Sus scrofa: one gene and its partner. The protein of the gene in region 1 binds, or shares a complex with, the protein of each later gene. Links are inferred from orthologs where the notes say so. Each region holds a gene or a part of one and is shown on either strand. Other genes may lie near its edges. The genes, in order: ABCC9 and KCNJ8.

Region 1 (15,329 bases):
ATATGGAGGTTCCCAGGCTTGGGGTCTAATCGGAGCTGTAGCTCCGTGTAGATGGGAACTCTGCCTCACATTATTTTTTTTAGCCTATCTTGCCTCCTTGTGCTGTGGCTATTAGACACTGTCAAAAGTATTCTTAATATTATTTTTTGCTTTATGTTAAAGTAATAGAACTCATCCCAAATAGCTAAATGTAACACTCCAATCCATCCTTGCATTCCTTGGTGTACACTTTTATCTGGAAAGCTGAGATGAAGGTATGGAACCTGAATTATGCATGGGCTGCCAGGGCCTGTGTGCTCTCTAAAATGGTAGGCAGAGTTGTGCCTCTTTGTGTGAATGAATGCTTCCAATTTTCTAAGGTTCGTGGATTTCACTTGATTGCTGTTTGATGAAAATGACATTGACTACTGATATAGCCATTACAAAAAGGAATAACTGCACAAGTATTACTTTATTAATCAGAGGATATTAAAATTAAAAATGAATAGGTGGAAATATGCTGATTATTTAATTCTGTGTTGCATCATATTATATGACTGGGCAAAGGTAATCAAATAAAAACAAGCTGTCTGGGTTAAATATTAATTTAAAAGGCTGTCCAGGTCAGAATTATCTTAATAGAAAGTTGTTTGAGGAGTTCCTGTTATGGCTCAGTGGTTAGCGAATCTGACTAGGAACCATGGGTTTCAGGTTGGATCCCTGGCCTTGCTCAGTGGGTTAAGGATCTGGTGTTGCTGTGAGCTGTGGTGTAGGTCGCAGACACGGCTCAGATATCATGTTGCTGTGGCTGTGGCGTAGACCAGTGGCTACATCTCCAATTAGATCCCTAGCCTGGGAACCTTCATATGCCGCGGGTGTGGCCCTAAAAAAGACAAAAAAAAAAAAAAAAAAAAAAGAAGAAGAAGAAGAAGAAAAGAAAGTTGTTTGATATAAAATAAGCAGATATTATCAAGGAAATCTTTTTAAGTAGATGCCAAAAAAGGCAACAGTAAAAATGTATATAATATTGGACATTTGATTCGCTAGACATTAAGTTTTTGAAGAACTGATGATGGCATAAGAATTATGCAATGTAGTTAGAAAGGAAGTATGCTTTTTCATAATATTTTGAAGGAAATGCAATCAGAATCAGCCTCTAAACTTTTATGTAGGCACAAGGCAGAGGGAACAATTTAATTATATTTCTGGAAGAACAGAGTTAAAAGCTAGTCTAATGGTCTCCTTGTTTTAGGAGAGAAATATTTGGACCTTGAAGAACCACACTTATTTTAAATCACAGAACTAGTAATTTTGTTCCAACAGTATATGATAAACAGCACCAAGCACACAGAAAGTTAAAAAAATCATAAGTACACTCAAGTATCTACCACCTCAATTCTTCGGTTTACGTTTTATTCTATTTATTTTATCACATACCTACATCTTTCCATTCCTCTGTTCTTCCATAAATCCATCTTATTTTTGATGCATTTTAACGTAAGTTGCAGGAGTTGATATGCATCACTCTCTGATTATTTCAGCATGCTTATCATTAACTAAAATTAAATATTTGTTCTTTTTGTGGGATAAAATTTACATCCAAAGTACAGAAATCTAATCTACTAAATGCATACACCAGTATAACCGTATCACTATCTAGAACATCACCATCATCCATGACAGTTTTCTTGTGCCCCTTACCAGTCAGTCTTCATTTCCATCTCTGTGGAGGCACATCTAATCTGATTTTTTTTTCCCACCATAGATTAGATGTGCTTCTTCTAGAATGTCAGTAAATTGAATTGCATGGTGTAAACTCTTCTCTGGAAGACTCCTTTCTCTCAGCATGATTTTTGGGGACTTCTCCATTATGTGGTATCAATCCATATTTTGTTCTTATGATTGTTGGGTCATACTCCACTGTATAAATATAGCACAGTTTTTCCATTCTCTTGTCAAAAGACCCCTGGACTGTTTCCAGGTTTTGGCCATCATGAACGAAAAAAGCTGCTATAAACACTCATGTGCAAGTTTTTATGAGGATACATGTTTTATTTCTCTTGGGTAAATCCCTAGGCGTGGAATGAGGACAGGTACATAAATGTGTATATTTGGAAGAAACCACCAGATCTTTTCTCAGAGTGGTTTATTGTACATTCTAACTAACAGGGTGTAGGAATTCCTGTTGTTTCACATTCATTTGAGGATCTTGATATTCTAATTTAGCCATGTTGGTGAGTGTGCACTGATAACACATTATGGTTTTGATTTGCATTTCCCTGATGACTAATGATGTTGAGCACTTTTTGATGAATATTGGCTATTTTTTATCTTTGTGAAGTGACTATTCATATCTCTTGCCCACTTTTTATTGGATAGCATTTTTGTTATTGAGTTGTAGGAATATTTTGTACATACTCAAAACTAGTATTTCATCAGATACATGTTTTGAGAATATTTCCCTTCCAGTCTGTGGCTTTCATACTCACTTACTTAACAATGTCTTTTGATGAGCAGAAGATTTTAATTTTGATGTAGCATAATTTACTTTTTCATGTATAGTTATTGCTCTCTGTGCATAAGAAATCTTTGCCTTCTGTCGAAATAAGTTTCCCTCATATTCTCCTGGTTTTTAAAGGTTTATAGTTACAGTTTTTGTTTTTAGGACTTTATCCATTTACAATTAGTTGTTTGTATGCTTTATAAGGCTGGCGTCAAAGTCCTTTTTTTTTTCCCAAATGCATATTTGTATGTTTCAGCACCATTTGTGGAATAGATGCTCCATTTCTCATTGTATTGCTTTGGGACCTTTGTAACAAATTAAAGTGAATGACTTTTTTAGTACAATCTATTTCTTGGCTCTGTATTTTCCATTCCTTTGATCCATTCATGGATTTTTATGCTATCACCATTCTGTCTTGATTACAGATACCAATGTGTGAATTCATCACATAATCACGGCCTCTTAAAAACACAGGACCAAAAGATAAAGTCAATTTTAAAGGTTGTAGAATTATACATAAGTTCTGAAAAGTATAGCCTATCCTTATTTACATGTCCCCTTTTATCTTCACGTCTAGCCCACATAGTTAGAGCGGAAGCACTAATATTTTCAAGTCATTACTATACCTTCAATTCAGAAGTCCAAAAGTACACTAAAGCATATATGTTGTTTTATAAACAAATAACATAATCTGGAAATAGAATATCTTAAATTGTCTTTGTTGTTAAAAAGCATTGTATTCATATTGAAACTTCAGTGACTTTTATTAAAAGTATCTGTGAAAGATTGTATTTTTTCTTTTTACTTTTTATTTTTCCAGCCTTATTCCTGTATTGGGTAATGGCCTTTATCACAAAAACCATAAAGTTGGTCAAATACTGGCAGTCTGGTTGGGGAGTGTCAGACCTGCGATTCTGTATCACCGGCATGATGGTCATTTTGAATGGACTTCTGATGGCTGTGGAGATCAATGTCATTAGGGTCAGAGTAGGTATCTAATGATTTTTGCTTGTTACTGGAATTCAAAACCCAAATATTAAAGATCATAGTCAGCTAGAAATCATTAGTATTTAAGAGGATAAACAATTATATATTATCTATGTGTATAAAGTTGAACTAATTACTCAGTTTCAGACCATTAATATTCCAGAAGTCTCAATGTAAACCTAGAATCTATTTATTTATTCGTAAATATTGATTGGGTGCCTGTGATGTGCCATCATTATGCTTAGTCCCTATTATAGATGAAATTGTTCTCACCAGGAAGTTCCATCATCTGTGATTGGTCCAAAGCAAATTTGGTTTAATCAAACTAGTGTATTCTCAGAAATTTCAATCTGAGAAGAAGATCATCTCATCCAGTGTACTCATTTCATTGATTAAAAAACTTCTGTAGACATAACTTTAGCTTTATAGCCAAAGTAACATGGTCAAGTTTCATACCTGGTCTGTGATTACAGACCTATTGCACTTCCCGCCACATAGCCTTGTCAGTTTTATTATGTGACATGCTAGTGTCTGATTTTTCAATGTTCATTTTTCTGTCTGAGCACTTTGACTTTGCTCTGAATGGCAAGATACATGCTTCAGTGGGTAATGGAAAATAGTGAACATCAGCCAGACCACAAATTAACAGGGAGTGACTCAATAATGCTTTGATAACACATTTAAACCATCTACATAATGTAAAAATCTTCATGTAGCTGAATCTATTACTAAATATCATGAAGTATCACGAAAGTATATCCAGAAAGATTGATTCTTAGGGAGAAATGTGGTTTAAAGGGATAATTGATTTTTTAGTATTGGCTCAAGTGTATTAAATGAAAATCTGGAATTTAACTAGAATATAGTCACGACAAAAGGGATTTTTTTTTTCCCTCCAAAGAATAGTTCAGAAAGGGATGGAAAAAAAATATGAACATATAAATTTCAGCCTACTGAAATGAAAATATAAAAAAGGTGAACATTTTATTTTTAATCTGTGGAAAAAGAAGGAGGTTAACTGTTATTCTTTGGAATTTTTCTTACCACAGAGATATGTGTTCTTCATGAATCCTCAGAAAGTAAAGCCTCCTGAAGACCTCCAGGATCTGGGAGTGAGATTTCTCCAGCCGTTTGTGAATTTACTGTCAAAAGCAACGTACTGGTGGATGAACACGCTCATTATATCTGCTCATAAGAAGCCTATTGATCTGAAGGCCATTGGAAAATTACCAATAGCCATGAGGGCGGTAACAAATTATGTTTGTCTGAAAGATGCCTATGAAGAACAAAAGGTAATTTAGTATCAGGTTTTTGTTTTGTTTGTTTTTAGGGCTGCACCTGAGGCATATGGAAGTTTCCAGGCTAGGGGTTGAATCAGAGCTGCAGCCTCCAGCCTACGTGACAGCCACAGCAACACGGGATCTGAGCTGTGTCTTTGACCTATACCACAGCTCATGAGAATGCTGGATCCTTATAGCCCACTGGATCCTTATAGCCCACTGGGAGGCCAGGGATCAAATGCAAGTCCTCATGGATGCTAGTCAGATTCGCTACTGCTGAGCTACAGTGGGAACTCCCCCAGTAGCTTTGAGTCTTGTTAACTGGGCTGCTGAGAATATGCCAGAAGAGCCAGTGAAAATGCTGGGTTAGTTGCCCCGCATGAGACGAAGAGGGTTGGAGGGAGCTCTGTCTTTTCTCTGAGCTCTAGTGGAAAGTAAGAATTAAATTCAGTAATCATGTATGTCTAATCCTTGTTATTAAGCAATATTAATAATTCATGGAATTTTTGTCTTTTTTCAAGTATCTTGCCAATAATTTTGTTATTTGAAAGGAAAATAGATCATATCCATGAAAAGTTAATTTTGAGAAGCAAAAGTCCTTAAATAGATGATTAACTAAATTTTGGACTCTATATTTCAAAGTTGGGGAACTAAATTAGAGGGGACTCACCTGCCTACTCCATGTATCATCCTACATGTCTGCCAAAATTGGTTTCTTCTGGTACTTTCTTTGAGTATTTTTCATTGCTTCTAAAATTTTAAACAGGAGACTCTGAATATTTTCAGTTTATCTTGTTATCATTCTGAGTAGTCATGTATGCTACCTGCAGTGGACAATGTATTTTATATTGCCATAATCTACAAATATTATTGTAATTAAAAATACGAGTATTCACAGTGACATTGGAAGGGAATAGGGTATGGTGAATCAGAGAGTTTTTGGCTGTTCTAAATCAAGATCAACAAAGCATTTATGGTAAATGATGAAAATGACCTCTGTTTTGTGTCAAAAATGTGTTTTGAAATTAATATTGCAGGAAATGGTTACTACAAATGAACCTGAGTCATGTCTCTGGTTTCACCTCTGGGAAAAGTATTGCATAATATTTAAAGCTCATTTTCTAAAGTAAAGATTAACGATATAGCCTAAGCCTAGCTTAAGTTTCCTGAGTGCTCTTTATAACACAAATTTGCTTGAAGTTGGGGTGTTAATGTCTTTTATCAATAAACTTTAAAAAATTATCAAATTATTCATCTCACAGGAAGTTGAATATTAAACACAATTGAACTCTAACGCATTGAGTTAGCTTCTTTGTAACAGTGAAAAAGCTTTATCCACTTCCTCTCCAAGATGTAATTATGATTGTTCAGGCCTTAAAATCTTTTGAACAAATGATTATAGAAGTACGAAGTCAGGAGTTGGCTTAAACAAATATGCCATTTTTGTTTTGCACTTTAAGGAATAACGAGGATACGTTAAGTCTAATATAACTTTATGACATATTGACATCACCACCCCCACCTCATCCCACTCCCATTTATGGAGATGGGAAATACCTGGAGAAGAAAAAATTTGAAGTTGGGATATTCTTTTTTTAGCTTATAGTGATTTGATATCCTGTGATCTAGTAACTTCAGTCATCATAAATAGACTGTCAATAATCTGGACTGTTGTATTTTACCATTTTCCGTACAGTGTTATTTGGTAATATTCATGAAAGATTTATTTATTTTCTAAATCAAAGGGAATTAAAATTAATTTGGTTCTTAGAATTTGGGGTCATCCTTTGACAACTAAAAATAATACAAAATGTTTGAAAAATTGGCCTGTTTCAATCAATCTGTTTCATTAAATCTGTTTCATTAAAACACATCCAATCCCTTGGGATAGAACATGATGGAAGATAACATAAGAAAAAGAATGTATATATATGTATGTATATATGTGTATATATATTATATAACTGGGTCATTTTGCTGTACAGCAGAAATTGGCACAACATTATAAAGCAACTATAATAATAATTTAAACACATTCAGTAGCTATTGTTTGCAAAGAATGTAAGGATACTAAACTATATGTACTGCATTGAAACATTTACTTTCAATCTTTTGAAATATAAGAAAAGATTTCTATAGTTGGTAAGATTAATTGTTGCTCTATTATTTTATTTTGGTTCATCAAGTTTTTTTTTGTTCTTTCAGAAAAAAGTGGCAGATCATCCAAATCGGACTCCATCTATATGGCTGGCAATGTACACAGCTTTTGGACGGCCGATTCTACTTAGTAGCACATTTCGTTATCTTGCCGACTTACTGGGTTTTGCTGGGCCTCTCTGTATTTCTGGAATCGTTCAGCGTGTGAATGAAACCCAGAATGGAACAAATAACGCAACAGGAGTAAGTTTGTGGTGCTTTTGAAAGGAAACATATTATTGGCACATTTCTTTGTAATTCTTACTTTTTAAAAATACCATTTGATGAGCAGTTCGCATAGGCTTATTTATAGAGAATTGAATTTTTTCATAATTTGTTTTAATTGAAGTACAGTTGATTTGCTACATTGTGTTGGTTTCAGGTATGCAGCAAAGTGGTTCAGCTATATATTATATATTACATGTACTTATGTTCATATATATATATATACATATATAAATCTATTCTTTTTCAGAATATTTTCCATTATAGGTTATTACAAGAGATCGAATATAGTTCCCCGTGCTATACAGCAGGCCTTTGTTGGTTATCTATTTTATATTTAGTAGTGTGTATGTATTAATTCCCAATGAGAAGTGAATGCTTTTTAAAAGAAGGAAAACAGTAGTTTTCCTTAGAGAAAAAATTATATAGGTATGTATTCATTGAATGGATCCAACCAACAAAATTATTTCTCAGGTTCAGAGGCTATGAACATTTACTAAGCATTTACTGTGTGCCAGAAATGATGTTTGAAAATTTCGCGTTATTTTATTTGGTCTTTACAGCAATCCTGTAAAGAATTTTCATGCATGAGTACATGAGGGTGGCTGCGTCACTTTTCTTAGGCTTATGACTAATGACGTTTTAGCAATGTGATTTGTAATATGCACATATCCTTTTTGTTGTATAGTAAAAGCTATCAGTCTGTTTCACAATGATCAGAGCAAGTCACATCATATTTTTATTAGGTATTATGTTACTGTTAGAGGCTATATAGTATAAGGGATTTGCTGTTATCAATTTGTAGTCTTATTTTTCTATTCTTAAGAAAATCTGCATCATTTATTTCCCAGTTTCTTTCTAAAATGAGTTAATTTCCTTAGTTTCATGTATAGAAACTCTAGTCTAGGTGAATCAATTTTCCTTTTCTATTCTCTCAATCTGGTTTCCTGTCCTCTTTTCTTTACCTGTTAAAATTGAGAATAATTCAAGAAAAAAGAATATATAAATGGGTGGGTGTGTGTGTGTGAGACTGGGTCACTTTGCTGTACAGTAGAAAATTGACAGAACACTGTAAATCAACTATAATGGAAAAAATAAAAATCACTACAAATTAAAAAAATAAAGTTAACTTCAGAAAAAAAAATTGTATGAATTTGCAGAGCTTGCAATGAATGCTGCCTCCTCAGTGACGCTTTTTCTGATTGTCCTCATTAGAATGTGACTCTCCTTTGTACTCTCCTATCACATCGTTTTCATGTTGGCACTTAACATAAATGCTATTTATAATGAAACATGTTATTTATGGATATGCTTATCTTTCTAGGTTGTGAGCTCTTTAAACAGAATGGTTGTGAACAGTTCACATTTGTGCTCACAATGCTTAGCCAAGTTCCTTGCATATATTGGTGCTCAATTGTTGTTGACGTGAACCATATATTTTACCACTGAATACAGTTTGTGGTGGTTTTGTCCTTACCAGCCTAATTACATGTAGATAACTAAATTCCACATAGAATTCCATCATCCCTCCCCCTTCCACACATTAACCCCATGTTTTTCTGAGAAGGAAGAGAACTTAAACATTTGTGTGCATCCCCATGAAAGAAGAAGGGGCCAGAGTAGAAATTAATGGATCTAAAACACAACTAAAGAGTACCCAAAGTGGCATGATGTGTTTATTCAAGTGTTGCTTTTGCCACAGTTTTCTATCAAAGAAGTTACCATATGCTGCTGTTTCAAACAAAAAGCAATCAACTTTATATAATCTTATGATGACTTCAATCATAATCAGACTAAAACCATTTTTCATAAGTTTGTGTTTTGTCACTGGATGTGTCATGTGGGCAAAATAGATACCCAAATTATGTATTTTATACAATTATTTCATTATATAAGTGAAAATCAGAAAAAGTCCACTGTGTAGAATTATTTTAAGTCAATAAGGCTATGGATGTTGTATTTTGGTTTTATTGGCCTTGCTTTGGACTATCAGTTTTGTAGCTTCTACTTGTAAGTTACAGTCTAAACCAACTTCCATTTTCATTGCCTACTTTCCAGCTAACTAAGGTAGAATATGTCTTTGTTGAACAAGTACTCCAAAAAAAAAATTGAAATGTTTTTTTTTTAGTTTTCTTTTATTTTCTACAATCAAGCATTTCCAGAAAACTTAATTAGCAGTGTAGGATTTTATACATTGAACTGGTTTGATTTGTATATGTGGACATTGTAAGTAAAAGTCAAAATTGCCTTGCTGTTTTATAAAGACACTGAGTTTTTAGATTTAACAACCATGTATCATTTAATAAATGTAAACTGTACACCAGTATATGAAAAATTTTAATTTATGTCTTTTCTTTTGGGATAAGATTTCAGAAAAACTCTCATCAAAGGAATTTCTTGAAAATTCTTATGTTCTGGCAGTTCTTCTCTTCTTGGCTCTTATCCTGCAAAGGACGTTTTTGCAGGCTTCCTACTATGTAACCATAGAGACTGGCATTAACCTCCGTGGAGCCCTGCTGGTATGTACATGCTTTGAATGATCCTGGCTTCTTCAAAATGCCACATACCAGCCAGTGAGAGGAAGAGTAGAAACTTTAGTTTTGTTTCTTTCCCTCTATTTTCATTTTGATATTATAACAATACTTCTAGGATCTAGTTAATAACTACCCTCCCCACAGAGCTAATTAACACACCCACTGAATTAAAAATAACATTTATAATATGTTAAAATATTTTGAAGTCATGCATTCACATATTTTTGTTATTGTTTGTTCCAGAGATTATGTTTAAATTTGAATATATGTTTTTATTATATTGCCAGAAAAAGTAAGTTTTAATTTGGGTGAAGACTAAAATAACAATACTAAAATGAAAATAATGGTTGACTTAAGATGAATTAGAGGGTTTCTTTCTTTTTTTTCAAAAATTTTTAAAATGTTATTTTTTTAATGAGAATAAATAAGCATAATGTTGATTATTAAGTTTAAAGCCACGAATACATCTTTTTTTTTTTTTTACAGGCCATGATATACAATAAAATCCTTCGGCTTTCTACATCTAATTTATCCATGGGTGAGATGACACTGGGTCAGATCAATAACTTGGTCGCCATTGAAACCAATCAACTCATGTGGTTCTTGTTCCTGTGTCCCAATCTATGGGCTATGCCTGTTCAGGTAGGTCAATATAAGTAAGATTCTTATTCACAAAGGAAATAAGAGCAAGAAGATAACGAAGTTTTTAAATTTCTTGTTTGCTTTTTCATTTAATTTTTTTTAAATTAAAGCACAGTTGATTTACAATGGTGTGTAATTTCTGCTGTACAGCAAAATGACCCAGTCATACATATATATATATATGCATTCTTTTCATAAGGGAAATCCAAATCAAATCAAAGTGTGTATCATTCACAGTGCTTGGTACAAAGTAAAATTTGAAGTATGCTTTGTTTCATTTTATCAAAATGTATTTATACACAGGTCAACTAAGTAGCTGTCTACATGGTATAATTTAAAGTGTATCAGGAGTTCCCGTCGTGGCTCAGTGGTTAACGAATCCAACCAAGAACCATGAAGTTGCAGGTTTGATCCCTGGCCTTGCTTAGTGGGTTAAGGATCTGGTGTTGCCATGAGCTGTGGTGTAAGTCAAAGACGCAGCTTGGATCCCACGTTGCTGTGGCTCTGGTGTAGGCCAGAGGCTACAGCTCCGATTAGACCCCTAGCCTGGGAACCTCCATGTGCCACAGTAGTGGCCCTAGAAAAAGGCAAAGAGACAAAAAATATAAAATAAAATAAAATAAAATAAAATAAAATAAAATAAAATAAAATAAAATAAAATAAAATAAAACAATAAAATAAAATGGATCAAAAATCCCAGGCTCTCTCTGAATGAGTACCCTCATGATGAGTCACCTGGAGGAGATTTTCATTTTGATTAGAATTCCCAAAGTTAGGCACTAAAAATGTGCCTCCAGAAGGTAACTAGTAAGCTGCTATCATGGGCATATAGGCATGGGTTAAAGGCTTTAACTGCATGGGTACAATTTATTAGTTGAGCCTTGATAAGCTGAGCTACTTGAAAACGAAAATTTCAGTGAGAGAAGATAGTAGGGTTAAAGCCTGAGTTTTTAGAGAATGAAGAAGAGAGTGACAGCCTGGAGAGGGTAGGCCTTAGTCATTCAGTCTTGGGTTTGAGGGCATCAGCCTTAGCTTCTTCACAGTTTTAGTTATCCCCACCCTTCTCGTCATTATGTGGGGTCATTGAGGAGGTGAAGAGCTCAGAGCATTTAGTCCACAAACAACCATCCTTGTTCTCTTCCTTGATGATGCTGCCTCTTACTTTCCATCCTCCCTGCTTTGAAAAGCGAATACAACTCCAAGAGAATATGGAACAATGGTGGGTGACAACATGTTCAAGAAAAAATTCATGTCGTTTTAAAAAATTGAAGACTTTTTGGTTGGAAGGTCCTGCAACCCCCCTGTAGCTTTGTGCAGTAAATTGGTTTGACATCAGCTGTACATGTCATCACACTAAAAATAAATTCCTGCTACTTAGCCCTCCCCAGATAAATCTTAGTAAAACCCAACTGTCGAGGTTGAGTTGACTTTCAAAGACACTTACTACAATAATTAAGAAATACTACAATTTCACTGAAAAATACTTCCTTTCATGCAGTGGTCCCCACACCCATTTCCATGTGTTTTCCTTGCTAGATCATAATGGGAGTGATTCTGCTCTACAATTTGCTTGGATCCAGTGCATTGGTTGGTGCCGCTGTCATTGTTCTCCTTGCACCAATTCAATACTTCATTGCTACAAAGTTGGCAGAGGCTCAAAAGAGCACACTTGTAAGTAATATCTTATGGAAACTTTATTAGGAAAATTGAATGATGCTGTTTTATTTTTGAATATATAGGAAATTAACATGTACCATTCAGGATGATTTGGAAATCGTTCTACTTATTTCAGTTCTTAAGCAGCAAATGTGAATTTTCTGGGTTGTACAGCAATTTTGCAAAGAGGGTTTGAAATCGAAGGCAATGATCTTGACTTCTAAATACCAGAATCACAATGCCTGATGTTTTTATGTGTTATGATGTGATGAAGCTTCAGATCTTCTTGTAGTTATTTACACTTATGTGTACTAGCGAATAAAAACATGTGCATTCAATTATGTAGACATTGCATGTCAGTTACTGATGTGGTAGAAATGGGTCAAGGAACAGATAAAGGGTCAGATTCAGTGCTTCTGAAATTAAATGTCCTTAGGGTTGAATCAGACCACGTAAGGAGCTATGGAGTTACACTGAAATGTTTCAGTGGCAGCTGCTCTGCCTGAGTATGTTCATGGTCAACTTGGCGAGCAAGAAAAAGCTCGATTATTGACCCTCCCTGGCTTCAATTTGTCATGAAATCATGTTATTTGAGCAAGAACTGGCTTCTTTTAAAGAAATATTTGCAAAAATAAAATTGTTGACAGCATGTTTAGAAATAAAGTTTGATTAAATATGAGCAAGGCTGCCTGTAAATCAGGCGTGAAATGTTAGGGATGCTGCCACTGGTGGACTGTTCCCAAGTTGGTGTTTCCACTGTGACAGGCAAGTCACAGGTCACACAACTGGTTTTTACCCATTGTTTTTCTTCTGCTTCTGGCAAGGTTAGCCATTATTTCTGTCTGAGTCACCTACCCTCTTTCCTCTAGGACATGGCTACAGAAAGGTGTGGAAGAGGGACAGAAAGAGGAGACATGAGAATCCAACATCTGACTTTCATTTAACTATTCATACTGCAGTCATTCACCAACAATCATTGGTAGGCAGCTGAGACACTCCAAGAGACAGAAAGATGAATAAAATTTGATCATTTGCTGCCTCTCCTTCCTTCCCTCTGCCTTTGGCCACCCGGCAGCTCCTTTTGAGAATTCATAGGACATGGTGTACCTTCCTAGTAATTCTAATGTAATATTTGGAGGAAGCTGAAACAGTTGTCCAAAGAGAGGCTTTTGTATCTGGTATGCATCTCTCTACAGTTAATCCAAGTTGTTGATAATCAGCGAATGTAATTTAGGTCTTCTTACACAAGGACTTATGAAGAAGGAGGTAGAAATCTCTTGAGGTTAAAGATAAGAGACTTGGTTTTGATAAGTGCCTAATGAGGACTCAATATGAACACACACAACACTGGTCCCTCATATTCCCAAATCAGAAGCAAACTAACTTTTCTTAAATGCATTGTTTCTCTTCTCCTAAGTTTGAGTGACAGTGCTAAGGAGAGGAAGAAATGATTTAGATACTAGGAGTCACTGGAAGCCTCTTTATCATTTCCCTACATGTCTGTATGTAGTATCTGCAAACATTATTCAAGCAGATCATGTGAAACTTAAGACACTGCTTTGATTTAAACCAAAGAACAGAGACATAAAAAGTTTTTAGGTGGAAAGAATTTCAGGCCATCTCATTCAACACTTCATTTTCACATCGGAGGCAGAAACATAGAGTTTAACTACTTCTCCTGGGAATCTCACAACCATCATTAGTGGCAGAGGCAGGCAGAAATCAAGCTCTGCTCAATCCCTGTTCAGTACATGGTCTTGCCTCTCTGATTTACTTGGCTACAGCTTGCATTGTTTTTTATTCCTTTCTTTTATAGGATTATTCCACTGAGAGACTGAAGAAAACAAATGAAATATTGAAAGGCATCAAACTTCTAAAGTTGTACGCATGGGAGCACATCTTTTGCAAGAGTGTGGAAGAAACAAGAATGAAAGAACTATCCAGTCTCAAAACCTTTGCTCTTTACACATCACTCTCCAGTAAGTCACTGTTGCTCAGACAACCGCCAAAGAGCATGTGGTCTAATCAGTTTCAGTTGTGATCATTGAGGCATTCCAGGCATCAGAGGAAGCCCATTTATTTTCTCCATTTGTGTTGTCCAGTAACCATGAGCCACATGAGGCTATTTAAATTTAAAGACGAGTTAGGACAAACTTAGAGTCAAGTATACCTGAATTCTACTCTTTACAAGTTGTGTGTCTTTGTCATGTTACTTGACTTCTGAAATCCTTGGTTTCTTCATCTGTAAAATGGGGATGGTGATGATTAAAATACTGATCATTGAAATCCTCTTAGCAGTTACAATTGTGATGGAGAATGGGTTTTCATTAAATATTTTTTTAGTGTATTTATTTATTTATCGTATTTTTTTGGCCGCACCCGTCATATGGAAGTTCTGGGTCCAGCTGCAGCAATGCCAGGTCCTTAACCCACTATAAAGGATCGGGGATCAAACTTGCACCTCTGAGGAGACCTGAGCTGCTGCAGTTGGATTCTTAACCCACTGCGCCACAGCAGAAACTCCAAAAATTTGTTTATTTAAATTGATTTGATTATATTACTGTTGACTTTATCCCCAAAGATCCTTTAAAATTATCTGCAGTTGTCTTACCTATCTTTTTGAGAGTTTATGATGTTTCCTCGAAAATTGTACTTGAAATATTGGTTTTGAAAACTGAGGAGAAAAAAAGGCAACATTTCCAGGTGAAAGAAACCAAACTTCATTCACATAAAACCCTCTTTTCTAATACTTTTTCAAGAATTTTAAAATACAATGCATTTCTTTCTCAACTCAAATTTTTAAAAAGCAATTGTTACAAAATCTTTTTTTTTTTCCTCTCAAAGAGTGACACTGAGTGCTCTCAAAAATAATGAGTTTATGTTAGTACAGTTCTTACGAACTCTAGCCATACTGCTACCACTGATGTTTGATTTGGTTTGTGTGTCAGTTTTGCTCATTTCTGTGGTTCCCAAGACTTTCAACAGTTTAACGTTTTGGAGGTTTATATATTGTTTCCTCTTGAATTCTAAGCTACATTAGTTCTTAGAGATTATGAACACTTCTTTTTTGAAACGGATTTAAGGAAAATACATGGTTTATATAGTTCATTTATTCTAGCTCTCATGTTGAATGTGTTAAAAATGAAATGGGAAGAAGATTTACCTTCCAGCTCTGCACCACTGCTAATATGGTGTCAGAATGATTGATATCCACTTGCTTATGTGATAGTTCTCTAAGCTGGGAGCTCCTACAGTACTTTCCTCTCTTCAGTGGACTGAAGTTCTCAAGAGAAGGATGGATGCAGCCAGAAATAATGACAATGATAA
Region 2 (15,913 bases), about 140 kb from region 1:
GGAGGTTCCTCAGAAAACTAAATATATAGAACTACCATATGAGGAGTTCCTGTTGTGGCTCAGCGGTAACGAAACGGACTAGTATCCATGAGGATGCAGGTTCGATCCCTGGCCTTGCTTAGTGGGTTAAGTATCTGTTGTTACCATGAGCTGTGGTGTAGTTCACAAATGCGGATTGGATCTGGCGTTGCTGTGGCTGTGGCTGTGGTGTAGGCTGGAAGCTACAGCTCCAATTCAACCCCTAGCCTGGGAACTTCCGTATGCTGAGAGTACAGCCCAAAAAAGACCAAAAAAAAAAAAAAAAAAGAAGAAGAAAGAAAGAACAAACAAACTACCATATGATCCAGCAATCCCAATCCTGGTCATATATCCAGACAAAACTTTCATTCAAAAAGACACCTGCACCCCTATGTTCATTGCAGCACTGTTCACAACAGTCAAAATGTGTAAACTACTAATGTCCATCAACAGATGAATGGATTAAGAAGACGTGGTACATATACACAATGGAATACCACTCAGCCATAATAAAGAACAAGATAATGCCATTTGCAGCAACATGTAGGAACTAGACATTCTCATATTAAGTGAAGGAAGTCAGAAAGAGAAAGATAGATACCATAAGATATCACAAATATGGAATCTAAAATATGACACAAAACCTATCTACAGAACAGAAACAGACTCACAGACATGGACAGCAGACTTGTGATTGCCGAGGGGGAGAGGGAGGAGGAGGGAATGGGATGGACTGGGAGTTCAGAGTTAATAGACACAAACTGTTACATTGAGAATGGAGAGACAATGAGGTCCTACTGTATAGCACAGGGAACTATGTCCAATCATTTATGCTGGAACATGATGAAAGATAATATGAGAAAGAAAGTGTGTATGACTGGGTCACTTTGCTGTACAGCAGAAATTGAAAGAACAATTTAAATCAACTATAATAAAATTTTTTTAAACTTTTAAAGTTTAGTATATTGAAAAAAAAATTAATTAGCAATTGTTATGAATGCTCCCTTCCTGACTCACAGATTCACACCTGTGAACTGGTAGATGTTTAAAGAGTTGAACATGCAAGCTGGATGGAGATTTTTTTCATTGCTGGTTCTAATGGATATTGCTGAAGAAAAATCGTGACCTAATTTAAAGGCAAGTGAAGCTCTTTCGCACAGAATTTGATACATATCTCAAAAAGAACTGTTCTCTGAACACTTTGGAACAGATAAGTACGAAGAGTTATATTGTCATTTCCATTTCATGATAACTCCAAAAAAGTGAGTTTGTAACATGCTGTTTTGATTACTAGTTTATGTAAGAGTTTATTAAGCTGATTCCAAAGCAATATGTTCCAAAGTGGTTTATATGAGGACACTAATAATGCAGCATACCAAGCAAATAGACCAACTGTTATTTGGGCTGCTAACATGAATCGTTTCCATTGTCATTTTGAAGACTCTCCAAATTCTTAAGTCTATTATGGCTCAGGAAAAGCAAGAGTTCCAAATTCACAAATCAAGTCAAAGGCGAGGTCATCAAATGCAAGGATTTCTTTCACCCCTTATCTCAAGAGTCCTTCCAAAGACTTCACTGATTTTTATCTGATAATCAAAGCAGTAGATAAATGGAAAAAGCATCAATCAACCTTCCTCCACTTATTTGAAGGCACCTGACAAACTTTGTTTCTTAAGAGAAAGAGAGTTGCAGAAACTTCTTTATCCACAACTAAAATGCTCACAGGGTCTAAAAGGCATTTAGGAGATGTTTACTTATAAGTTAATAGATATCCTTGAATTACTTCCCAATTATTGCATAAATTTCATGGTATGTAACATGAGCAGATTCTTACAGGATTCCTGAATAGTTGAGAATATCATAAGATTTAAATTTAGTTCTGTTCTAAACCTATTATAGGTCTCCTCTAGGAGTAAAGCACAAATTAGTCCTCATTTATAAAAGAACAATTATGAAATTATAGAACAGTATATATATAAAGTATATTATAAAGTTTTCTTAACTGTTCTATATATATGCTATATATATATACACACACACACAACAAGCACAGGCAACTATATTCAATACCTGTAATAAATCACAATGGAAAAGAATAATGAAAAGAATAAATATACATATATATCTGAACACTTTGCTATACACCTAAAACTGATACAATATCTTGAATCAACTATACCTAAATTAAAAAAAAAAAACCTTAAATGGAGGATAGCAAAATAGTGATTAAATAAATAGACCATAGATAAGCCTGAAGTAGTCAATGTGATCTTGAAACGTTGATTTCCTTCATAAACTTTTCAGAGGTAAATTTATATGTTCATTATTTGGACCATGATATGAGAAGAACTGAAGAAGGAGAAACTAGAAATCAGTCAATAATAAATATTTATTGAGCAGCTACTGTGTATCCAGAAGGACCTTTGGGGATACAGATATGTCTTCATTAGGCTAAATAGTTGTCAAGAGAAACATAGGCAGCAAAAGCCAAGTTTAAACAAGTTTAATATCTAAATAAGTTTAAGTATTGGGGATCTGGAATGGTTAGGAGAGTTGCTGAGGAAGGAAGGAGTGGATGGTTTGAAGGGAGGAGAATGAAAAGGTAAAGGCAGAAGGGAGAGGTGATGAGTAAGGAAATCTGTAGACAGATATGGCCCTCAACTCCAAGGAGATTTCTAAGCTTCAGATTACCCATGAGAACTGTGAGAAATTATTACAAATACATAAAAGGAGAAGAGAGGAGAGTCAGACTAAGTGCAAGAAAGAGAGAAACACTGTGCTGAGAGCACTGTTCCTTCTTTCCTTCTTTTGACAAATACTTGTTGAGTACCTACTTCTAAGAGGTAGCAACAATTCCAAGACACTAGGTCTGTGGTAGCTGACAACAAACTACTGCCCTCATGCAGCTTCCACTCAGTGCAGAAAAAGCAGTGAAAGGAATGAGTTTTTTTTTTAGATGTCAGGAAGGGAATGGAAAGAGGAAAGAAAAAAGAAAGTCTATAATATTTTTACAGCATACACTCCCCACCTTTCTTTGAAAGGCTGCTATTTGTTTTTAGATTTATTATCGACAAAAATTGACTGATTAATGTCTTAAAATTAACCTTGATTATGTGCATTCTTAGTGCCCTTATTTTGACTTAGGTAGGGTACAGAGTTTGTCATTTCAGAACAAGTCAACACTTGATTTAAAATTGCATATTTAGAAGAATATATCTTGGGAAAAAAATGAATCCTAAATATGTATTATAGTGAAAGACCAGAATTTTCATAGGATTCAGACATGGGTTTATTTGTTGTAAATCTTCTCATAATACTCCTCAACAGTTCACCTCTTCTCATTCAATTTTCTTACTATTTTTCTGTCATCACAATAAATGTCAGAGTCATCTGTGACTTTACTTTTCCCAATATTGACTCTATAGCCTTCCTTTTGCACATATTTTATATTGTCCACTGACATTGCTTATTAGCCCCAGACCTAATTCTTCTCTAACTAACACAATAGTTTCCAGTGTTCCCTTCTGCCAATCACAGAATTGTGGCACCTAAAGGGACTCTGCTTAGCATTGTAACCATCAAAGTCATCTGGGCGTCTTTTTCCTGATTGATTCTGCTAAAGCAGGCACTTACAGTATTCTCTAATAAAAAATCCTTCCGTGACTTACCGCCACCCCCTGAAGACTGTCCAGACTCCTTTTTTGAGTATTTAAGACTGTCTATGTATTTTTTTAAGCACCAACATGGTTTTCAATATTATGTTTCCCATTCAACAATTGAAAAGTATTCTTTGAGCCGCTCTGTGATTTAAGCTGTGCTAGAAGCTTAAGATACAAGGATAAACAAGTCACAGCCCTGTCCTCTAGCAGCCCCAGTTTCATGGGCTGTGAGCAGAGCAGGAGATGGGACACTTACATGAATAACCTATTGTGTGTTCAGAGTGGTGGCAACAGAGGCTGCCCAGAGAGCACCAGCCTCAAGCATCCAATCCTGTTATTTTGCTTACCTTGCTTCATCAATGAAGATTATATTGGTTTGTTACTAAAACATGGCCCACTCTTGTCAATTCTTGGTCACTTTGTTCATGACCTTTCTTCTCAGTGAAATGTCTTTCCTCAGCTTTTCTGCAAATGCAAATACATTGGTCTTTCAAAGACTAGATCAGATGCCAAAAAATCCACAATGCTTTCTTTCCTTAGTTTTCTCGTCTTAATATCTCTTATTTGAATTTCCAGGGCACTTTAGTTATATTTCTGTTCTTATTTTAATCACATCAGTGCTTGTACTAGAGTTTATTATCAAAGTCATGTCTCATACTACAATTGTCTACCTCTTAAGAACAGCAACTGTGATATATACACACACACGTATATATGTATATTCCTTCCCTTATGAAGTGTTCAACAAATGTTTCCCCCAGCTAAAATAACAGGGAATAAACTGTACACCAAACAATTGTAAAGCAGAATAACGAGGGGATTAACTGTACAATTTGATCCCCACACACTTGTGGTAAAACAACTACATAAATTACTGTAAAAGTTCAAAAATTCACGACAGTAGAGGGAACAGCTACCACTATCTGACTAGGATCTCAGGCTTGAAGGGGTTAAGCAGATCTATCCACAAAGGGAAAAAATGGTTCTTCATTTGCCTTCATTAAAGACTAATTTTAGGTCTCTTAGTAATTAAATGAACACATTGTTTATGCTCCATACACTTTCTGCCCTGAGTCTTGGAAAATACATGAAATTTCCAAGAATTAAAGTTTCCATTAACACAAGAGCCAAATCAGGAGGCTTGACCTGTGGGAGTAAGCACATTTGTCTTTGCTGGCTCCTTTTCAAAATGTTATAGAAAGATATTTACTGTATAAGCTTTCTTGTGCGCAATTGCTCTGTTTTATCATTCAGGCCATCTAGACAAGATGGAGAAGCTGCAACATTTCAGAAAGCAACCAATTACTGAAGAACAACGGTTTGAGTTCTAAAGTGTTGACAGCAGTCCTGTTTAGGGTAAAAAAAATTTTATTGGAAGAAACTTTGAGTGTTTTTTCTTTCTTTCTTTTTCTTTTTTTGGTCCCTGAGAACTAGCTTCGGTTGATGAAGAAATATACGTAGGGGTTTTGGTTTTCAGAACATCTTTCACTTGTATCACCCCTACTAGACAGGAATTTAATGTAAATAAGTATGTGTGCGCACAGTCTGGACGTCTCAGAGACTATTTTCTGGTCTCTATATCTGGTTTTATTCAATCTTAAGTAGCACAGTTATCTACCCAGGTTTAAAAAAAAAAAAAAATCTCTTTACGTCAGTGAACTCAGAAAGTTCGTTCCCCTGAGCAGGGAGCCTTTTAAAGACGTGCATGTCACGCGGGCGGCAGGGGGTCTCAGCTACTGGGAAAAGGAGCTGGTCCTACAGGCCCCGCCCTCCCTCCGTCGCCCCTCCTCCTGGCTGGCTCCCTACCTCCCAGTACTCGCCTTCCCAGCCAATCCCTCCCGCCCCCATCTGGGCAATTTCGGAGGCCTCAGAGGTCTGGGGCGCGTCAAAGACCGAACTGGGAGGCTGACTTGTGGAGCATCACCCCCAGCTCCTCTCCCCCAGCCCCTCCTCCGCCACCGGCAGTGGCCGGGGAATAGAACCGAGCAGGGGGAGGGGAAGAGCTATACCCATCCCCCTTCCTCCAGCCCTCCCCGCGTTCAGATTCACTTGCACCTTTTATTATTTTAACTCTTCTCCCTAGGACACGCGGTCCCCGGAACTGTCCCTCCGGCAGTCGCGGCCCCTGCTCCCGCGCGCCGAGATGGGACATCGAGGGACCTGCCCGCGAGGCGTGTGCGGAGAGGTGCGGCCGCCGCGCCAGCTGTCCAGAGTCTGTAAGTTTCAACGCTCCTCCAGGGTAGGGGAGGGGGGTGCTGTCCGCGCCCCCACAAATGATTTAAAATGCAAAACACGGGAGAGGTTTAAGCGTCGGATGGATTTTTCGGGGCACATTCTTTAATTAACTCTATCCGCAGCCCGAAGGCTATCCGGGTTTTTCCTGCAGCTTGTATGTTTGATCCCTTCGTCGTAAAGTTTTCAAGTTATAGAGTTCCAGTGGAGAATTCTTTTTTCTTTTCCTCTTTCTTTCTTTCTTTCTTTCTTTCTTTCTTTCTTTCTTTCTCTCTCTCTTTCTTCCTTTCTTTCTTCCTTTCTTTCTTTCTTAAATGCAACTCACACTTCTTTCTTGTCTGAAATACTTTTTCGTGATTTTCAAGTTACATAGCACATAACTTATTATTTTGTCGAATTACACGAAACGTGTTATTTATACTGCTCAGGAGGCCACGGCCTTTTGCTCTGCCTATTTCTAAAAATATTGGAAAAAGAATTACCCCTCTTTACTTTCAGTATTGCTATATCATGTGAATACTTTAGTAAATAGATCAGATCCTGATACCCAGCTGGCCTTAATATTTCTCATAGACGCTGCGCGTTTGTATCCTTGCACTAATCAACAGACGTGGGTAACCTTAGAATTATCATTGAGCCTGCTGTTTACAGGACGGCTCCTGGTTTTGTTTAATTAAGGCTATGCCCTTATGTGTTCTAAGCGATAAGGAATATTAAAACAGTTCAGATTCATACCAATTAATTTCTCCGGGATCCCAGAACTTAAGCGTTATCTAGACTCGATGAGTAAGATCATGCATTTAGCTTTGCACGTCACCTCGAATGTATAGACGCACCCCTTAATGCAAGGACTGAAGCGGTGAGGAAATGGGGAGAAAAGTTTTTTAATCTTCGTTTCCCTCCTGCAGGAGAGAAGGAGAGGCAGGTCAGAGACAGGTGTATAGGCTGGCTATGGTGACGGGACGATGTTGGCCAGAAAGAGCATCATCCCGGAGGAGTATGTGCTGGCGCGCATCGCGGCAGAGAACCTGCGCAAACCGCGCATCCGGGACCGCCTCCCCAAGGCCCGCTTCATCGCCAAGAGCGGGGCCTGCAACCTGGCGCACAAGAACATCCGGGAGCAAGGACGGTTCCTCCAGGACATCTTCACCACCTTGGTGGACCTGAAATGGCGCCACACGCTGGTCATCTTTACCATGTCGTTCCTCTGCAGCTGGCTGCTCTTCGCCATCATGTGGTGGCTGGTGGCCTTTGCCCATGGGGACATCTATGCTTACATGGAGAAAGGCGGGACAGAGAAGAGCGGTTTGGAGTCCACTGTGTGTGTGACGAATGTCAGGTAAGAAGGCAGTGGATGAGGCAGGGATGGAAACAGTACAGAAAAAAATACTGAACTGCCTTTTCTTCACTCTGCTGTTTTGTTTTAAGTGGCCCAAGTTTGTTTTAGTACCTTCAGAAACAAACAAAAAAAGTAAAACAAAACAAAAACAAGAAAATAACCTAACGCATTAGTCTTTTTAAGATCTTTTTAGATGCAGCTTGATGGACAAGGAGACTTTGAAAATACAGAGTTTCAACACTCAGGCTGGCCTTGAAAATATTAAAATATTATACCGGCTATTTAAAAATGGTTGTGGTTCACAAGATTCCACAAAGTGTCCTTCTCAAAAAAAAAAAAAAAAAAATGCACGTTCAGTTTTCAGCATGAAAAAGCTGCTGTCCATAGTTCCAGTATCCACAAGGAAATACCTCCGATCAACCAAAAATATTGTACAAATGCTAGTAATGTTTTTCCACGACTTCTCTTACTTGTGACATTTTCAGAAATCATGAGGAAAACGGGAAGACACTGGTGGAGAGATGTCCTAGCAAAAAAAATTACACTAGAAATTAAACAAATAAATATAAGCCCTTCTTTTTCAAGATTATCTTAAATAGCTGGTTGCTTGCATTGAATTCCAAAATTAAAAGTTATGCTAACATTCAGAACTAGAAAAAAATAATTTAATGGAAATTGCTCCAAATTTTTCATGGAATAGACTATGGAGAAGTGACTTAATGTTGTGGTTTTCTTTAAAAGTTTTAGTAGGACAGGAAGACATTTCTTAGACTGCCCTAATTTTGCTTTTTTTTCTCTATGTCATAAATATTCAAAGATAAGAAAAGTGAATTTTATTTCAGTGATTCTCTTCTCATATTTTCACATGGCTTAAGAACATTGACTTGGGGCGATATGTCTTAATTATTTTGCTGGAAAATCAAAAGAGATAATTATATAAAATGCAAAAATATTTACTTGAAGTGAAACATAATAATACTAGAAGCTTTTCCAGGATACTTTTTGAATAATATTACAATTTACATAATGCATATAGTAAAGCAACTTGAACAAGCACTAATTTTGTCAGGAAACTGTAAAGAACGAGACCTTTACTGACCCTGAAATCTCATGAAATTATCATACCACTGCAAGCGGCAGAAACCCAGACTGTAAACTATCCATCCTTCCATTCCCTGAGTAGCTGAGATGCCAGCATATCTAGGGGGCGGGGGAGAGGGGATACAGTATTTGTGCACAGAGATCATGTTACAGATTTCAGCTCAGATTTTGAGAGGAAACTATATTGAATTGATCCATTGGCTTTACCATTAGATATTATTTTCTTGTCTTAAACTTGTCTCAAAGAAAATATACTATAGGTGGTCATTAGTACACCAAATAAAGGAAACAACTAAAATACTGTATTTAACAGTATTTGTAGGTCAAATATCCTTATAATATTTCTCTTTAAGAAATTTATTGGCACTCATATTTGTGAATCTTTTTCCTATCAAAATACGTTTTTAATGAACATGGAGTAGATACTCATAAAAAGATGAGAGAAACAAAAGGTAAACCTGGAAAAATAAATGACAGCTGTTATTCACAAGACCAAAATGTGGGCTTTTCCTGTGGAAAATAAGGTATTAAGCAGTTTATTAGAGACATATCATCAAAAGTGGTATCTATTCAATGGTTTTATTTTTATAAACTTGATAGAGCGCACTGGTTATTGAAAGCTATTTTACTACTAGCTTTTATTTTTCCATAAGATGTGTTCTGTGGGATGTTCATTCTGATGGATTCCTGCTTGTGTGATTACTCAGTTCACTGTGAGAAAGTGTCGCCAATATAATGAGACAAAGTCGATTTTATCAGCATGACAATTTTAGCGTTTTAAGTTGCACTTCTTGCCTAAAAAAATATACTATTTGACATCTTTTATGGTGAAAATCTTACTGGTTTTATTTTATATGATATGGTACTACTTACACTTCAGAGCAACATAGAGATTAATCATAACAAACTGAACATAATACATAAGCCCCCCCAAAAAAAATAGAAACAGAAAATTTTCTATTTTCTCCCAAAGGGGATTTAAAAGGTGAACAATAATATGTGTAATTCTTTGCATTTCCTTTCCTTTCATAAGTTCAATGTCCTCCCTTATCACCAAAACTGAAAACAACCCATTGTAATACTCTCCAGTATGTCCAACTAACATTTGCCATTCTCCTTCTAGGCTGGTTCACTTTTCCTTTCATGTGGATGCCTTTCTAACATGAGTTAGGAAATAAACCAAGCTACTTCCTCTTACCATTCAGTCCAGCTCCTTCTTTCTGTAGCAGAACAAATGAGCAGCTAAACACTTTCATCTCTTGAGACTGTTTTGCACAACAGGTGTCCATAAAAGGCTGGGTCTTGCACCATGTAATGTTTGGAAGTAAGTTCTTTCCTAAAATAAACAACATACAAAATATGGCACGTGAATAGTCTCTTAAGCCATGAAAATGAAACCTCTGAGCATATTCATCATTACACTGTTCCCTAAAGCAAGTATATGTTATTAGAAATCAGTGTTGTGTTTGTGTCCCTTTTCTGGGGTATGTTCTTATTCTTTGCCATGTTTTTGGACCATATGATATATCTAGTGTGTAGCTAGTGCAGAAAGCAATTATTGTAGTTTCCATGAATTTTTTAGCAACAAAAGGGGTAAAAGATGCAATTTTCACACTCCATTTAAAAGTTAATTAAAGGAATCATCTGTGACATCAATATACTTCAATTTTAAAAAATAAAAATCCATGATTATGAGACTGAATAGAAAGAAAATCATCTGTGTGTGCTTACCACTCAGTCCCACCAAAGTGTAGTGTATAGACTCAATACTCAAATATTTAAACATTTTCTCACTCTTTGTGTGTGTGGAGTTAATAGACAGCTAATACTTTTAACAGATGGCCAGTCTTCTATAAAATTAGAAAAGTCCGAAATTAGGATTGGGGGCAAACAAAGACTGAGACTGTTTCTATTAAGAAGCCAGAACAGTGTAGGATATGTAGTTACGTGAATAAGTTAAGAATAACCAATTGTGGTGCTTCTCAACCACGGAGATAAGTCAGAGTCTTCTGCAAGCTTTTCAAAAGTCTTAGCCCAGGTCCACCCTGAAACTACCAAACCAGTGTTTACATTGAGATCAGGAAGAGAAGCACAGTTTGAAAAGGCTTCCCAAGAAAAACCCTAACGTTTGTTAGCCCCTCCCTGTGCCTCTTTCAGTAACTAGGCCAGAATTGAGAGGATTCAAGTTATTATTAATTATATGATCTTGACACAGTCAGTTACTAATCTCTACCTCAAATCTTTCCTTTAATAGCTTCAGTATTCTCTAGATAACAAAATGAGACAATGAGAAAACAGAGTTCCTTTCAAATGGCACCACATTCTTTTTTTAAAAATATAACACTCTCTCTATGTAAGGTATGCAATCACTGTTCACTAATGAATATGATTTGAAAGGTTATAAATAATAAAAAGTTCTCTTATTACTCAGTATGTTCCATATGACTCAGGTCACTTGAACACACATAGGCAATAAATAATGGTTATCGACCTGGAAGAACGTTTCACAAAGTAAACTATGCCTTCATGAAAGTGAAGTATTTCACAAAGTAAAATAAGCCTATTAATATGAATGTGTCTATTTATTATTTTAATGCTTTCACATGAATAGGTCCATCATTTCATGGTTTGAAGCATTGATAGTAGTGTATCAGAGAAGCCTGGAAGTAAGATACATGCAGAGGGAGAGAGAGAAAATGTATAAGTGTTTGTGTTTGGAGTCAGGCATTTGATATGTTACTTTGGCTAAGTATTTCCAAAAGCAATAAATAGCCTTTGGACATAAATAATTGATGGATAAAGAAGACGTGGTATGGAAAAGAAACTCATGAACTTGGAGAACAGACTTGTGGTGGGAGTGGGGTAGACTGGGAGTCTGGGGTTAAGAGATGAAAACTATTGCGTTTGGAGTGGATGAGCAATGAGATCCTGCTGTATAGCACAGGGAACTAGTTGCTTATGATGGAACATGATAGAAGATAATGTGAGAAAAAGAATGTATATATATGTGTGACTGGGTCACTTTGCTGTACAGTGGAAATTGACAGAACACTGTAAACCAACTATAATGGAAAAATAAAAATCATCTTTAAAAAAAAGATGTGGTAGATGCAGATATCTACATGTATGTCTATGTATACATATGTTGTATGTATGTGTGTATATACAATATATATGTGTGTGTGTGTGTGTATATACACACACACACACACACACAATGGAGTATTACTCAGCCATAAATGAGAATGAAATAATGTCATTTGCAGCAACATGGATGAACCTAGATATTATCATTCTAAGTGAAGCAAGTCACATGAAGACAAATATCATCTGATATCCCTTATATGTGGAATCTAAAAAAAAAGTACAAATGAACTTATTTACAAAACAGAAATAGACTCACAGACATAGAAAACAAATGTATGGTTACCAAAGGGGAAAGGGAGGGGAGATAAATTAGAAGTTTGGGATAAACATATACACACTACTATATATAAAGTAGATAAGCAAGAAGGACCTACTGTATAGCACAGGGAACTAAGCTGAATATCTTTTCGGTTTTGTTTTATTAAAGTATAGTTGATTTACAGTGTTCTCTAAATTTCTGCTGTGTAGCAAAGTGACCCAGACATACATATATATATATATACATTATTTTCCCCATATTATCTCCTATCATGTCCTATCACAAGTGATTGAATGTAGTTCCCTGTGCTACATACATCAGGACCTCATTGCTTATCCATTATATATACATATATAAAAACTGAATCACTCTGCTGTATACCTGAAACCAACACAACATTGTAAATCAACTATACTTCAATACAAAGTACATTTTTCTTTAAATAGCCTTTGGAAGAAGAAAACAAAAAATTCAGCATGTTATTTCATGATGGAAAACCTGATCTGATGGCATTGTGTTCTGACCTCATTTCTTACAGGTCTTTCACCTCTGCTTTCCTCTTCTCTATTGAAGTTCAAGTGACAATTGGCTTTGGAGGGAGAATGATGACAGAGGAATGCCCGCTGGCCATCACAGTCCTGATTCTCCAGAACATTGTGGGTTTGATCATCAATGCGGTCATGTTGGGCTGCATTTTCATGAAAACAGCCCAGGCTCACAGAAGGGCAGAAACCTTGATTTTCAGTCGCCATGCTGTCATCGCCGTCCGAAATGGCAAGCTGTGTTTCATGTTCCGTGTGGGCGACTTAAGGAAAAGCATGATCATCAGTGCCTCTGTGCGCATCCAGGTAGTCAAGAAAACCACAACACCCGAAGGGGAGGTGGTGCCTATTCACCAGCTGGACATTCCTGTTGATAACCCGCTTGAGAGTAATAACATTTTTCTGGTGGCCCCTTTGATCATCTGCCACGTGATTGACAAGCGCAGCCCCTTGTATGACATCTCAGCCACCGACCTTGCCAACCAAGACCTGGAGGTTATTGTGATCCTGGAGGGAGTGGTAGAAACGACGGGCATTACCACACAAGCGAGAACCTCCTACATCGCCGAGGAGATCCGATGGGGCCATCGCTTTGTGTCCATCGTCACGGAGGAGGAAGGGGTGTATTCTGTGGATTACTCTAAATTTGGCAACACAGTGAAGGTAGCTGCCCCGAGGTGCAGTGCCAGAGAGCTGGACGAGAAGCCTTCCATCCTTATTCAGACCCTCCAGAAGAGTGAACTGTCCCACCAGAACTCTCTGAGGAAGCGCAACTCCATGAGAAGAAACAATTCCATGAGGAGGAACAACTCCATCCGCCGGAACAACTCCTCCCTCATGGTGCCCAAGGTGCAGTTTATGACCCCAGAAGGAAATCAGAACACGTCAGAATCCTGACAGCAAGACAACCCCCCCACAAAAGTCTTTTATGAGATGTTGAAGGATTTATGCAGGGCACAGACAGACTGCCCCAGGGCTGGAACACAATCATTTGTCTTTCTAGATCTTCATGCACTAAATGATACTCATATTCCAACAGCAGTGCTTTCAGTGTCAATAAACAGTAACACAAAGTGGAGAGTTCATGGCTCACACTTGTTTCATCCATGCAGAGTTGGCAGTGATGGGCTTAAGTAGGAAATACCCTTGTGTCTCTCCATTTGAAACACAAGAATTACATTACATGCAGAGTAATATAGACCTTGGCTAGAAAAGCTGGCCAAGGAATGATTCTGCTTGAAATGCTCAGTGGGCGACACCACAGATCTCTCTGTTTCTGTTGTTGTCCACTCTAGAAATGTGATAGAAGGGATCATGGGACCCAAAATCGTGGTTTTTTTTCCTATTTTGTCCTTAAAACAAACAAACAAACAAACAAAAAACTACACAGGGTAAGAAGCCTGAAGCAAAAATTGAAACGTCTTAATTCTAATCTATTTCTGAGTGGATTCTGTTCATTCGCTTGTTCCTCACAGTGACCTCCAAGGGTTTCTTGGCCACCTGTTGGCAGAACCGGCCAAGGAGCTTTGGAGAAGAGCTAAGAACATTCCTGTCTCATTCAGGACTGGATTCTCCAAAGTGACAGCTACTTCTTTTGGCTTCTGACTTCTTCTGAAGAGCCTCCACTGTATTGAATATTTCATTAAAATGAAATTTTTGTATTCACTTTAGTTTTGCCATTTCCCTTTCACGAAATTAAAGCTCAAGATTAAAGCCCTAGTTAAAGCTCAAGAAATAGACATTTTTAGAGGGGTGTAAAAGAGATATCACGGAGTGATGACACTCGCCTCTGAGATCTCTCTGAGGGGCCCTCTCTTTGAGATCTGTTGTTCCAAGGGAGCTACATTTTAAGATTTTCATTTTATTCCAAGTTTTAGAAAGTTCTCTTGTCTTTTCTAGTTGAGCTTAATATATCATGGAAATCCTATAAACTTTTTTTTTTGGATCTCCCACCTCCCATTTTAAAACTACACTTCCTTCTCAGTAATATTGGAATTCAGACCTATCATATAGAAATACAGCATTATCTCAATTGCTAAAGTGAGATTTTCTGTCAATGCTTGATCTAATCATCCTTAGTTCCTGTCTCTTCAAGAAGAGATGAGGGCACAGTGGCAAGTAAAGAGTTAATAACCAGCAGGTTTATTCTTATAGTTCACATAGTTAAACATCAGAAAGCTGAGCTCTCAGGTACTCTTGTATACAGCTTTTGGGGTCTGTCTTTATTTTACTTCAATATCCGCATAGGAAATCATGATTATATTCAAAAGCTGTCTTAAAACAAAACACTCATGTTTCTAACCAGATTAAGGAACATTTCACAGGTTACTGAGTTAATGATTTCTAAAAAATTTTAACCACACCTTTGAACTCCAGATTTGTGTATCAAACAAGTACTTGATGTTCCACATGGATACCTAATACACATTTAAACGTTATCATGTCTAAAAGCAAACGCTTCATTCCTACTGGCAAAATCTGCCCCTTCTCCCACCCCTCCTTCCCCCCCCCCACTCCAGCCTTTCTTCCTGTCACTCAGGCCAAAACCAGGGTCATACCTGACTCCTCTCTCTCTCTTTTTTTTTTTTTTTTTTGCCTTTTGTCTTTTATGGGCCACCCCCACGGCATATGGAGGTTCCCAGGCTAGAGGTTGAATTGGAACGGAACTGCCAGCCTACACCACAGCCACAGCAATGCCAGATCTGGCTGTATCTGTGACCCACACCACAGCTTGAGGCAACGCAGGATCCTTAATGCACTGAGCAAGCCCAGGGATCGAACCTACGTCCTCATGGATACTAGTTGAGTTTGTTAACCACTGAGCCACAACCGGAACTCCCATTTACTCCTCTCTTTTATATCTCATATGCCATCCATTAGCAAAGCCTCATCCAGACTATGGCCGCTTCTCTATATCACTGTGGCCTCCTTCAGTCCAATCTGGGTACTCATCACCCAGTATATATGCATGCAGTGTACCAAGTGTTAGAATATTGAAACATTTCTTTATAGTTTGCTAAAGAACAATCTGTCTTAATAAGACTTAGCCTGCCAGTGATTACAGAGGTGAATATCAGACCTCCTGCAGTTCTGTGTGCCCCCCGACTCCCACCCCAGAGCAGCTGAACAGACCCAGAAGGCAGCTGCAACCCCTGCATTAAGAACATGTACAGACAATGCTTGGCTGCTATTCAGTGCAGTAGCCGCTCAATGTTTGTGAAGGTAACATGGGCTGCGGGCCAGGTAACAATTAAGATATATCAGGGCTGAGATGCAGGATTTCTGGTTCCATGTGATACAGAGAGCCCTGGCAGCCAGGGGCAAATCTGGCAAGGGAGCCAGAGCGGTTCCCCCAGCCACCTTTCAGCTGCAACCAAAGGCTGGGTGCCAAGGACCTGATGGCCATCAATTTCATGGGGTAGTCAATGGAAGAGATCGATAGGCCTCCTATATCAAGTCATGCCTCAGTCAGGGACATCATTTAACTAGTGACAGCCACATCACCCAAAAGGTCACATCAATTTATAAAAATCTACAAATGTTTTTAGAAGATTACAATGATTTCAGAACCTGTTTTTGTTAAAATATGTTTAACTGGCTAAGCAATTTTGGAACT

The links.
Region 2: the proteins of ABCC9 (region 1) and KCNJ8 are in contact, whole or in part, in a cryo-EM structure (PDB 7MIT), measured with the Rattus norvegicus proteins. The link is inferred for Sus scrofa from reciprocal best matches to the Homo sapiens genes ABCC9 and KCNJ8. Residues at the interface, in XP_038963045.1 of Rattus norvegicus: Phe5, Ile10, Tyr13, Asn14, Ile15, Val19, Asn22, Cys24, Phe25, Ala28, Leu29, Val32, Val35, Phe36, Phe39, Phe42, Pro43, Ile44, Phe46, Ile47, Gly48, Trp49, Gly50, Ser51, Lys55, Gln57, Ile58, Asn129, Phe130, Lys132; in NP_058795.3 of Rattus norvegicus: Met1, Leu2, Lys5, Ile7, Ile8, Pro9, Glu11, Tyr12, Val13, Leu14, Ala15, Arg16, Ile17, Ala19, Glu20, Asn21, Leu22, Leu45, Ala46, His47, Lys48, Asn49, Gly54, Arg55, Phe56, Leu57, Asp59, Ile60, Thr62, Thr63.

The regions. Positions count from the first base shown.
Region 1 is NC_010447.5:51,551,470-51,566,798, forward strand, and holds part of ABCC9 (ATP-binding cassette sub-family C member 9), read left to right. Parts: intron 1-3,302; coding exon 3,303-3,469; intron 3,470-4,518; coding exon 4,519-4,761; intron 4,762-6,954; coding exon 6,955-7,149; intron 7,150-9,536; coding exon 9,537-9,689; intron 9,690-10,190; coding exon 10,191-10,346; intron 10,347-11,882; coding exon 11,883-12,017; intron 12,018-13,818; coding exon 13,819-13,981; intron 13,982-15,329. UniProt on the Homo sapiens protein: Subunit of ATP-sensitive potassium channels (KATP). Can form cardiac and smooth muscle-type KATP channels with KCNJ11. KCNJ11 forms the channel pore while ABCC9 is required for activation and regulation.
Region 2 is NC_010447.5:51,690,441-51,706,353, forward strand, and holds KCNJ8 (ATP-sensitive inward rectifier potassium channel 8), read left to right. Parts: upstream 1-5,486; 5' UTR 5,487-5,893; intron 5,894-6,817; 5' UTR 6,818-6,874; coding exon 6,875-7,248; intron 7,249-12,293; coding exon 12,294-13,194; 3' UTR 13,195-13,962; downstream 13,963-15,913. UniProt on the Homo sapiens protein: Inward rectifier potassium channels are characterized by a greater tendency to allow potassium to flow into the cell rather than out of it.